3 linked regions of the Nothobranchius furzeri genome follow. The protein of the gene in region 1 interacts with the protein of each later gene in a pairwise test. Links are inferred from orthologs where the notes say so. Each region holds a gene or a part of one and is shown in the gene's direction. Other genes may lie near its edges.

Evidence for each region.
Region 2: the proteins of paraneoplastic antigen Ma1-like (region 1) and aptx interact in binary tests that used the Homo sapiens proteins (3 or more experiments, as listed by UniProt). The two-hybrid records come from large-scale screens. The link is inferred for Nothobranchius furzeri from reciprocal best matches to the Homo sapiens genes PNMA1 and APTX.
Region 3: the proteins of paraneoplastic antigen Ma1-like (region 1) and spg7 interact in binary tests that used the Homo sapiens proteins (3 or more experiments, as listed by UniProt). The two-hybrid records come from large-scale screens. The link is inferred for Nothobranchius furzeri from reciprocal best matches to the Homo sapiens genes PNMA1 and SPG7.

The regions. Positions count from the first base shown.
Region 1 is NC_091745.1:26,674,265-26,677,271, reverse strand, and holds paraneoplastic antigen Ma1-like, read left to right. Parts: upstream 1-1,469; coding exon 1,470-2,387; downstream 2,388-3,007.
Region 2 is NC_091746.1:79,993,912-79,998,165, reverse strand, and holds the start of aptx (aprataxin), read left to right. Parts: upstream 1-1,312; 5' UTR 1,313-2,096; coding exon 2,097-2,238; intron 2,239-3,019; coding exon 3,020-3,066; intron 3,067-3,189; exon of another isoform or gene 3,190-3,229; coding exon of another isoform or gene 3,230-3,245; coding exon 3,246-3,524; intron 3,525-3,649; coding exon 3,650-3,709; coding exon of another isoform or gene 3,710-3,717; intron 3,718-4,180; coding exon 4,181-4,254. UniProt on the Homo sapiens protein: DNA-binding protein involved in single-strand DNA break repair, double-strand DNA break repair and base excision repair.
Region 3 is NC_091749.1:64,823,582-64,828,089, forward strand, and holds the start of spg7 (mitochondrial inner membrane m-AAA protease component paraplegin), read left to right. Parts: upstream 1-1,566; 5' UTR 1,567-1,717; coding exon 1,718-1,939; intron 1,940-2,169; coding exon 2,170-2,272; intron 2,273-2,352; coding exon 2,353-2,442; intron 2,443-2,521; coding exon 2,522-2,763; intron 2,764-2,859; coding exon 2,860-2,999; intron 3,000-3,164; coding exon 3,165-3,267; intron 3,268-3,344; coding exon 3,345-3,470; intron 3,471-3,578; coding exon 3,579-3,741; intron 3,742-3,861; coding exon 3,862-4,035; intron 4,036-4,113; coding exon 4,114-4,238; intron 4,239-4,508. UniProt on the Homo sapiens protein: Catalytic component of the m-AAA protease, a protease that plays a key role in proteostasis of inner mitochondrial membrane proteins, and which is essential for axonal and neuron development.

The DNA.
Region 1 (3,007 bases):
AAGGATATGTGATCCAATAAAAAGCACAATGAAAACAGACACATGTGCGGTGAGTACAATTAGATGTGTTTTTGTAATTGAAATGTCTTTTTTACACTACAGTTACAAGGTCACAACACACAGATTAATCAAAAGATAAGGCAGAGAAGGAAACAAAGGGGTGTGCAAGTGTATGTGTGCAGATGTACATGTGTAGCCTGGTCTCAAATATCTATTCTAGACCCTACAGGTTAAAAGGATATAAATATTGTGTAAAGCCTTTATTGTAAATATTTCATATATTTGAAAAAACAAGGAGTTCAAATGGTTAAAAATGTGTTTAAAATCACAATAAATAGAAGTCAATCATAATTTGAGTGTTCATGGAGTTATAAGTAACAATGAAACTAAAGGTTTATCTAATGTGAAACAAGGAAAACTTTGTATTGTTTCAAGTTGTTTTACAAGTTCATTTTGGGTTGTCAATCTTGTATTTTCTTTTATCCCATTGGTTGATGTAAACCTACTGTCCAATCAGACGTAAGGGAGGCGGGAGCTAAGTGAGGCAAAAGAAAGAAAAAACAGCGAAGCTAGTGAGAGTCGGCAGCAGCACGTTGCGGGAGGAGGTTGTGTACCAGAGCTAATGGAAGAATAGTGAAATAATAGCCGTGGATGCAGAGTCTACGTTCCTGTTATGGACTGTTTTACCCTGTGATGAGTGAGTACTGAATGTGGAGTTAGCATTGAGCTTAAACGGAATGTATAAGTACTTAAAATGTATGGTGCTAATCGCGAGTTAGCATGTTAGCATTTTAGAGCCTGTAATAGCTATGTATGTCGAGTACGTAAGATACAGCTTATTCTGTGGAACTAAATAGTAATCTCTAATGCACAGTGGACCGAGAGGAATTCTCTGGACTCTTCTGCTGTGGATAGGAGTTCTGTGTGGTTGTTCCAGTGTACTCAGCAGCCCGGGTATGCCGCTAATTCCGACCACCTTGCCGAGTGGAGGCCGCATGGTCACCAACCAAGACTGCCCCTCCGTTTGCCTTGCACTTAGCCCAAAGGATTCATGAGTAGACCTGAGCACGTGTGTTTTGTTTTCTGCTGGTTATCAAGTGAAGCGGCCATTTGTTTGTTTTCTGGCCCAACGAGCCCAAGCAACGATCAGGCCTGCAACGGTTTCAGTGAATGAGCTCACAAAGGTTAAAACTGGTTAGTCATTGTTTCTCCTGTTTACCAATAAGATTAGTTAATGTACCCAGGGCCCCGCTCATAGTACTATCACCATCTTAACCGAGGGTTAATCCAGAGCTACTTGAGTTGGGTGCTACACATTTGGAGGCACCGCTGGGATTGTTGTTGTTTTATCTACATTTTAAGTTACCACTAAATCTGCTGTAACCTTAAAGTAACTAAGAGTAACACTGGTCCTAAAAAGCAACTTCAATTAATCTTTTTTTTCCCCCTACAAAGTAACTTGTTAAACTATGGCCACTAAAAGTGATGTCTCACAACCGAATCTTGCAAATTGGTGCAGAGGTGAAGGGCTCGATCAGGCACATGCCATTCTAGTTGTCGGAGTGCCTGAAGAGGAGGACCTATCCACAGTAGAAGAAACACTCGAACAAGTAAAAACCTTGGGCAAGGTAAGAGTAAGAGGAAAAATGTTTGATGCCAATAATCAAACCCTGACCATGTTATGTGAATGCTGTGAAGCAGTCGATCCTACCAAAGTTCCGCCAGAGTTGATTTCCTTTAAGGATGGAAGTAAATGGACAATAGTTGTTGCAGAGCAAGAAACGAACTCCGACCTATTCACAGAGAAGTTGGACAGATTTCTGCGTGATGAAGGGAAAACAATGGAGGATGTTCAAAGACTATGTGATCCTAGAACTCCATGGAACAGCAGCCCTGAGTCAATCATTCGGGTGGTAGGTGATGTGTTGCAGTCCAAGCCAAATGAAAGCAATTTATACCGTCGTTTTAGAATCTTCTCAGGAGTCTACCCTACTCCACCTGGTGAAGACAACTTGGATAGCTGGCTAGAACAAGTAAAGTTCATGACTGATGAGTATGAGTGCTCAGATAAGGAGAAACGCCGAAGAATTATTGAGAGTCTCAAAGGGCCAGCGCTGGAGATCATTCAAGCAGTGCGCATGTCTAATCCCCTGGCAAACCATGTGGACTGCATACAGGCATTGGAAAGTACCTTTGGTACCGCAGAATCCGGTGAGGAACTGTATCTCACATTCAGAGCTATGCATCAAAGACAAGGGGAGTGCTTGTCTAACTTCTTGCTGAGACTGGAAAGATTACTGAACAAAGTCGTGCAAAAAGGAGGCCTACAAGTAGATGAAGCCAACCGAGCAAGGCTTGAGCAACTCATTAAAGGTGCTACTGAATAAGACTTCATGCTGCTTCATCTAGGTCTTAGAGGTAAGCGAAGTGATCCCCCGACATTTTTAAGTCTACTGAAAGAAATTCGAGAAGAAGAGGAGCGTGAAGCTGCAAGACAAAAACTGAAAAAACCAGCACAGAGACAGCACGTGCATGCAGTGCAAGTAGCAAGTGAAACAGACTCCAGAGATTGTCAGCAACATGAGTTTCAGTCCGAAATTCAAGTGCTAAAAGAAAAGCTGAAAGAGCTCAGTAAGCAGTCTCATTCTACAGAGTCAAGCCACAAAAAGATGTCCAGAGAAAAGAAAAAAGAGAAATCAGACACAAGCAGCGAAGTGCAACAGTTAAGAAAAGAAGTCAAAGAGCTGAAAACACAGTTAAGTGTCATGTCGGTAACGCCACAACATTATGCAAAAGAGAGAGGGCACTATTCTAAGTTCAAAGCGGACTTCAGTCCAAAGTCATCTACCTTTAAGCCAAAGAGTAGTAAAGAGTCAGATAATTTCTGCTACAGATGTGGAGAAAATGGCCATTTTGCAAACAAATGTACAGCTCCGGAAAATGCTCAAAAGGTAATCAAAAAGCTTATTCATCAAGTGCATGGAAGCCCAAATGGACAAAGTCAAAG
Region 2 (4,254 bases), on another chromosome or scaffold:
TTTACTACAAAAAAACTTACATTAACACCTTCACAAACATACCTAACGAAGACGCACGTAAGTTAATAGTGTAAAGAATTAGATTTTCTTGCAAGATTGTGAAATATGTTATTTTAATGCAAATGCATTTAACTAACTATTTAACCTGTACTTGAATTAATATAATAATTAGTAATGACAAAAGACTTACAATCTTACCAGAACACGTTATTCAAGTTAATATAAGAATACAAATCTTAGTTTTGCTATTTAACTTTAATTAGCCAGTGAGAGCAGAAGTTTCCCGTTTACGTCGCGAGGTGTTTATATCACTCAGTATTTTTAGGTAGGAGTTAACAGAAAACAAACAGAAGAAACATAATTTGTCTTCGTCTATTGTCTGAAAACATTTAAGTGTCTTATTTTCATAAACGTTTATATGACCGTATGGCTTCCAGTTTACACAAAAAAGAAACGATAAGGCCCCATGTAGCTGCTTTAGCTAGTGGAACTGGTGTTGTGGCGAAAAAAGTTACCCTGTCATAATGCGCATTTCGTTACGGGTAGCAGTTGCTTCCGTTGAAAAACCGACACATCACTAGCCCGTTAAAAACTGAAAAAGAAAATAGCTCTGTTCATCAGCACTTTACAATAATATTATAAACAAATGTTTTGATGTAACAGAAATGTATCTATCACGCATCAGTACAGTATATAGGAGAAAACGGTGTTGATTTGGTGGCTAAAATCAAGTCTTGGTAACTAATTGTAAAATTTAAGCAAATAAAACCACGAGTTACCTTTTTTTTTAAATCATCTTTGACTTCAACACAATTTATTAAAAATGGTGAATAAAGCAGAGATGACCATCGCGAGAAGAGGCTTGATTACAGGGGTATTTTTCTCGGTACAACACCACATTAAAAATCCAACGCTATCAATGTTGTTTTCCTCTATTTGTTAGCAAAAAATTTGACCTGAGACCGGTATATACAAAATATGACTTGAAAATAGCTAATTTCCAACCTTATATGAAGACAACTAAGACCCTTTCAAGGCCAAACCGCACATCGACTGTCTTCTAGAATCTTCACCCGTGTCCCGTGCTGCGTCCAAACGTTTCGCCCCGTTACGTCACTTTTTGGCGACGAAACCGTGTGGCAACACCCCCTTTAGCCAAAACCGATGAAGAAAACAAGCGCACGCACAGAAAGAATGGCGATGCAATGCAATGGACTGTTTTGCAATTTTTTTCTGCAGAAGTGGAAAAAGTCAGTTTACTTTAAAATTTACATCTCTTGCGCTGCTCAATTTACCTTATAAACGCGGTAGGCTAGTTTATCCTACTAAAGTACTAAATCCTAAATTAAAACGGTTGTAGGATCCTGAGTTTAATTTAATGCTAAAAAAAACAAATACCGAAAAGTTCAGACTTTTTAATATTAACGTTAAATTGAAAACATTAGCCTGCACCTGATTCCTGATTTGAATGATAGTAATGAATATGTCAGTTTTCTTGCTGAGGTTGCCTCTGCTAGAAATGTCAGTGCTGTTCTTAGATGAGAAATAGAAATAGAAAAGATTGTTTGGTCCAACCTGCTTAAATAAAAACTGATTATGTGTTAATTGGAGAAAAGGGGAATATGTCATGTTGACATGTTGCAATTTATATATTTAAGCACTGGAAAATACAGGATAAGGAAACAAACAACTAAAAAAACATAACAACCACACAAATAACACTTAGAGGGCTGCTGTGTCTAAACTGAAATGATGAAATAAATGTATAGTCTTGGTTAATTTGTTGTCGTTCTTTTTAAATTTTCCATGCTGTTCCAGTCACTTTCTCCATTCATCCCGGATGTTTTGCCCCCTTAGATGATAGTCGGGCTTTAGAGAAGTTCATTTTGAAGGCGTTCTTATTTAGAAAAACACATTTGAACAGTAAAAAAAACTATGGTTATTACGCTACGAAATGTTCTAAAAAATAAAGCTCTGACAAAAACGTAAAATTCGCTTTTCTTTTGCTGAGTAACATTTGTGATAGTAATCTTGATGACGCATTTCCGGTAGATGTGGTGGTTACGTCATATTTGCTCGCCGCCGGAGAACGCTAAATGACTGATAAAATGCCAATTTGCTGGCTTATCAGTAAGAAAGGAACTCACAGACCCATCCAGCTGCCGCATTTACAGACAGTCGTGTTGGGTCGAGGCCCAGAAACGACTATCAAAGACAAAAAATGCTCCAGGCAACAAGGTAATTTCTCTATTGTCGCTGCGCCTCATTTGTAATGCGTAACACGCGTGTAGTAGTTTTTTTTTACATTGTTTTTGTACTTAATTCGTTCAAGTTTCTTTCCTTCTAAGGATAATTAGAATCAAATTAGGTTTTTAAAAGACCTGCGTATTTTTAGACTTTTATTTTGAAGGACTAAAATAATTCAGCTGGCGCTCTGCCATTAAAGCAACTCAAAGACAGCACATCATGTAAAAATGCACCATTTACATAGTTTTCTTTCTAAATCACATTCAGAGGCCATTATGATAAAAACGTAACAAATACGGTCAGCTTCAGAAGCACAGCAGGCGTCCTCAGACCATTCCTGAACTATTCTACTTCTGGTTTATTTTAACTTTTTCTTTATGCAATTTCATAAATTTTCCTCAACCTTTCAAGTTTAATTATAATTATCCTTTTCAAAACAAAACTTTTCATTGCAGGAGTACGTGATCATATATTGTAATGTGAAAACATCAATTTACTTTTAGGATTTTCCAGGTGTATATAAATACATTGCATATTTAGCCACTTAATTTTTCTTGAATTATATATTCTAATTTTTACGCTGTAATTGGTAACTAAAGTTATGGCACTGAAGAAGACCAAAAGATCTGAGTAACAGCGTGCTCAAATATCTAAAAATGACATCCTGTTCCCCCAATTTAATTTTATTTATTTTTTATTTAAATTTGTCACTAATTAGCTTTGTGAAAATAAAAATCCTTTAACCTGTTTAACTATTATCCTTCCCAACCAGTTGAGCTGAAAGCTGAATGCAACAAAGGTTATGTGAAAGTTAAACAGGTGAGAGAGTTTGGATTACTAATTTATCAGCAACAGAAGCACAATTAATAATTATATGATGATGTTTGTTGTTAAAGTCTCAGTCTTGACAGTATTCTTTGAATATGCTTGCTGTGTGTTTAGCAGGTCTGCTCTCTGTAATAATCTGTATTTAAACTTGTCTATGAATGGCTCCAAAGCTGGGTTTAAACCCCACCTCTGTGGACTCTGCGGTGGTGGGAAAGGGCAACGAGGTGAAAATGAAGCCTGGACAGCATCTTCACGTTGTCAATCAGCTTTACCCATACACTGTCCAGTTCAAAGAAGATCTCACTGGAAACGACAAGAGAGACAGAAGACCAAGAGAGCCTACAGAAGAGGATGGAGAAAAACAGAAAAGCACTCTGACTATGAAAGCAACAATACACACAGAAAAGGATGCCGTGTCAGGCAGTCCTGTAGAAGCTACAAAAACAAATGTGAGAAGAGAGATATGTGTTTCTTTCTTGTTTTATTGTTTATTTGATCATTTTTGGACCACCTGTATTGTTGGTGGTCATTTTATTTCATGCAGATAAATGTTGTTTTCTGATATTTGCCGTAGGTAAGTGTTGGACATTGGAGCCAAGGCCTGAAGACTTCAATGCAAGACCCCAGTATGCAGGTATACAGGTACTGCAATATGGACGACTGCGTTTTCTTAAAGAGCAAGTCACCCCTACCAGATTCTTAATCAACTCTCACTTCCTGTTTGAAAAATGCAACAAATGCTGTTGCCTAGCAGACAGAGAGGGCGGAGCCGCTAACAAATACACACACACAGGCTCACAACGGCATTGTGACATCATAATGTACCAGTTTACATCATAGCATACCTCTTAGCCAATAGCCACGGCAGATTTAAATTCCAATGCAGTGCAGAGTTTTTACCCGACGACGGTGCAACACTGACAGTTTTAGGCAGAATATTTAAATTTTAACTAAAATGCACTGAAGTACCAAATTATTGACCACACATGTCTGCAGCACAATTAGACACACATTTATATAGTTTATCAGCAAAAAAACGTTGATTTGGGGGTGACTTGCTCTTTAAACATTCTTAAACTCGCATAACTTTGTCTCAATTTTCCAGGTTTACAAGGATGACCGAGTAGTTGTCATTACAGACAAATACCCCAAAGCCCGCTACCACTGGCTAGTCCTTCC
Region 3 (4,508 bases), on another chromosome or scaffold:
ATCACTGCACCAATATGGCTGAAACCCCGTCGTAGTTTCCAGCACAAGAGACAACTCTCCATTATGCAGTTGGAGGAGTAAGAAAAGGAAATGGAGTTCGGGCACTGGGTGAACTCGTTTTAATATCCTTCGACATCCATACTGTTGTTGTTTTTCTTTTTAAAACGTAAATCAGAATATTGTGAACGTGGCATCATTCAAATTTTTATGCACTTAAGAAGTTGAAACAATACAATTTCTAAAAAAAAAGTAGCAATACAATTTCTAAAGAAGTAGCAATAATTTGTTAAATTCTTATGTGATCTTTCAATTTATATTTCTTTCAAATGCAAAAAAGCACTTTTTAGTCTTAGATTTCCTATCCCAAAAGAAATGATCTAAGCAGCGCTCTGATAAATGGCACAATCTTGTCGCTTTACAAGAGTTTGTGTTTAGGAGATGAAGTTAGCGGATAAACGGAGCGTTCCGGTGCAAAATTGAACGTATCCGCAAAGGGATGATACGAGAAATCCTATTGGTTCGAGGAAAACGTCTCTCTACTTATTGGGTTTTCACATGCCATTCACACTGACCCGTACGTGTGTCATTGGACTATGTAGTTGTTTACAACCGCGGTGGGAAATAAAACATTAGTTTATGTTTTCTGGGTACTAAACACGTTATAAGCTAAATTACCCGACTGTAGCTACTGAAGAGGAGTGTCGTCGTAAAACTTAAGTAGTGTTATAATAATTTAGAACAACATATATTTTTTAGAAATTAACAAATAAAACACATAAAAATAATAAAATCCACTCATTTGTGTAAATGAAGACAAACGCGCATTTACATTATTTCTCTGGTTCAAGCGATCCATAGAGTATTCTTGAACAAGGTCGCCATCTGGTGGATGGTTGTAAATCAACACCTTTCATCGATATAGATAATTATTCTAAGATATTCACTTTTAAATGATGGAGTTTAAAATATTGCTTTTTTCGTGCTATTTGTTTGCTATTTGTGTAATAATAGCAAACACTCAAACTTACACACGAATAATTTTTCACGTTTTTTAGCTCTTGGTACCAATATGAAGCTTTTTTCTTCATCCATGTAAAATCTCAGAAAGAGTGTTATTTCCTATTTCAAATTAACACATTTTTCTAAATGTTCTAAAATACGATTCAACACTGAAATAATATGAAATAATAACCTTAGAATAATTAAACAGAATATACTGTATTTGAAAGTACACTATATTGGTTAAATTTCTATATATTTTTTCTTCTGGAACTATGTGTAGACATTATGTGATTCTGAAACACTTGTCACAGCAAATTCTTAATGTCAGGCTTTTCAGAACTGGTTTTCAAAACAAAAATCCCAACACTTAGACTGGTTAACAAACAAGATATAGATATTTATTTTCTTCAGGTTAATTTTTTACGTAATTGTTGATTTAAAAGCTGCATTTTCAAAGATTTTAACCACTTTTTATTAAATGAAAATATACATGACACTTTGTGCCCACTGGGTGGCACTGGTTCCCCGTTACCTGGTTAAGAACTTCCGATATAAACCAACGAAGAGCAGTCGCCGTTGACTTACGTAGCATGATGCTAGCTCCAAGGTTGGGGGTAAACAAACGTTCCTTTAACATTTCTGAGCTTCACTAAGGATTGCTGTTATGGGACTGCTACTAGTCAGTTCATGTTCACATTGACTCGTAAAAAACACCATGTCGGCCATGTTGTTACCGCACAGCACGGCTGTTTGTAGAAGGCGCAGCAGATGTTTATTCCTGTCGCTATCAAAGCGTAACTCTCATGCTTTTGCAAGCAAACTCATCAACACCCATAGCGGCAAAAATGTGCTGTCAAGGTGTGTTAACGTGGGTAAGACGCTTGTTTCAAGCTCAGAGGGGGCTCTGACAAGTCGCACACAGAGTAAACTCATCCAGGTAAGCAGAAACATTTGTAGATTTTTAAAAGAAAACTAAAAAGCTGGTTTCTTTTTGTGGTCTTGGCTAATCCTATTCCTTAATAGTGATCCTGACCTTTAAATATGATCTTAATCTGTTTTTTTCCAAGATGATTATTCTCAATAGAAAGCGATTTTGTTATTCTCTGGTAACATATAACTGTTATCTGCTCTGCTCTCAGCAGTTTTAACTCCATTCTCATGTTTCAGAGTCTTCTTCACAGACCTTTAGGATCTAGCATGGTGGGACTTAGCAAAGAGTTAATCAGGAACAACCTACTGAGAAATCCAGTTGGTTTGATTAATCTATTAGGTGATTATCAGTCCCATTTCCACCATGAATATATTTATGTTCCAGTATTAACACTGTGTCTAAAACCGTTTTAATCTTAGGAGCAACGCACTTTTTCAGTGCGTCTCAGTCTCAACGACAGAACGATAAAAGTTCTGGATCAAAGGGAAAAACTCCACAGGAAGATGAAGGTAAAAATCCACCATGAGTAGTTTTTTTTCCCGCTTTTCTCTTCCTTTGATCCCGTTGATGTCACATTTTACATTTTAGAAGAGAAGAAGCGGCGTGAGCAGGAGGATCAGATGTACCGCGATCGCCTGCGCACTCTCTTCATCATTGCACTCATCATGAGCCTACTGAACTCCATCAACACCAGCGGTGGGAACATCTCCTGGAACGACTTTGTCAACGAGATGTTGGTCAAAGGAGAGGTGTCCCGTGTGCAGGTGGTTCCTGAGAGCGACATCGTGGAAATTTATCTTCACCCGGGGGCCGTTATCTTTGGAAGGCCTGTAAGTGGCGTGGGAGTTTGTGCAAAGTGAAAAGCCAAAGAGCAAACGAGACATGCATGCTAACGTCTGATCTGCTTCACGTGTCTTCCTCTGCAGAGGCTGGCCCTCATGTACAGGATGCAGGTTGCTAACATAGACAAGTTTGAGGAGAAGCTGAGAGCAGCAGAGGAGGAGCTGAACATTGACGTTAAAGATAGAATCCCGGTGTCCTACAAACGCACGGGATTCTTTGGGAAGTACGAAACTGAACCTCTTCTTCAAACAGGAGTTTGATTCAGACAGGTTTTTGGTCTGGGCCAGTTAAATTGAGCAACATTATTTTTTATTTTATTTTTTTATCTCCTGCCAACCGTTTGAAATGTGACCAGTTGTAACATTTTGATAACGTTGTCTCTTCGCAGAACCATCTATGCTCTGGGGATGGCTGCTGTAGGCGTAGCTATTCTCTGGTACATCTTCCGACTAGCAGGCATGGTTGGCAGGGACGGCGGCTTCAGCGCTTTTGTGAGTAAAAAAACCCAACAAGAGCTGTTGTCTTTACTTAACAGCAGACTAACCATGTATTATAACAAACCCCGCAGAATCAGCTGAAGATGGCCAAGTTCACTATTGTAGACGGGAAATCGAGTAAAGGCGTGAGCTTCAAGGATGTAGCGGGACTGCATGAAGCGAAGATGGAAGTAAAAGAATTTGTCGATTACTTAAAGGTCAGAAACCACACTTGAACTTTCCACTAGTGTTTGTTTGACTCTTGTGAAGCAAACAGTGGATATGTAATACAATAATGTGTAAATAAACTCGTTACGTGTTGGCAGAGTCCAGAGCGGTACCTGCAGCTGGGAGCCAAAGTTCCCAAAGGTGCGTTGCTGCTTGGACCTCCTGGATGTGGCAAAACCCTGCTAGCGAAGGCCGTAGCTACGGAGGCTCAGGTTCCCTTTCTGGCTATGGCCGGCTCTGAGTTTGTGGAGGTCATAGGAGGTGAATAAAAACCATAACCGTAGTTGAGCCGGTGGCGCTCACACCCACAGCTAGGCTTCGTCGCACACAGCAGCTTTTGTCAACGTGAGATGCGTCGTGACTCGTGTTGTTTGTGCGCAGGTCTCGGCGCCGCCAGGGTCCGGAGTCTGTTCAAAGAGGCTCGCGCTCGAGCGCCGTGCATCGTCTACATCGATGAGATCGACGCCGTAGGAAAGAAGCGCTCCACCAACATGTCGGGTTTCTCCAACACCGAAGAGGAGCAGACGCTCAACCAGCTGCTGGTGGAGATGGACGGTGAGCAGAGCCGCCAGATCCCACACATCAGATGAAAGGATGAATCGTTCAAATCCACCTCCTCTTCTCTTTCGGCAGGCATGGGAACCACAGACCACGTCATAGTCCTCGCCTCCACCAACAGAGCAGATATTCTGGACAATGCTCTGATGAGACCAGGCAGACTGGACAGACACATCTTCATCGATCTGCCCACTCTGCAGGTCGTTCTAGTGACACCGATTTCATCTTATTGTCCTCAGTGTCAGTCCATCACTTCCTAAAGCTAAAAACGAATATACGCCCCTCCAAAAACTTGCATCCACGCCACCTCGTTTTAAAAAGAAACTCTGTCCACACGTACCCGGATAAATACGTTGTTAAGGACATGCCAGACCTGTAGGCGGCAGTACTTCCCCCGTTCTTAACCTCGTCCTTCGTCTGTGGTCTTCAGCAAGGAGCAGTAAGTCCGCTTGCAAAAACAAACAAGCAGA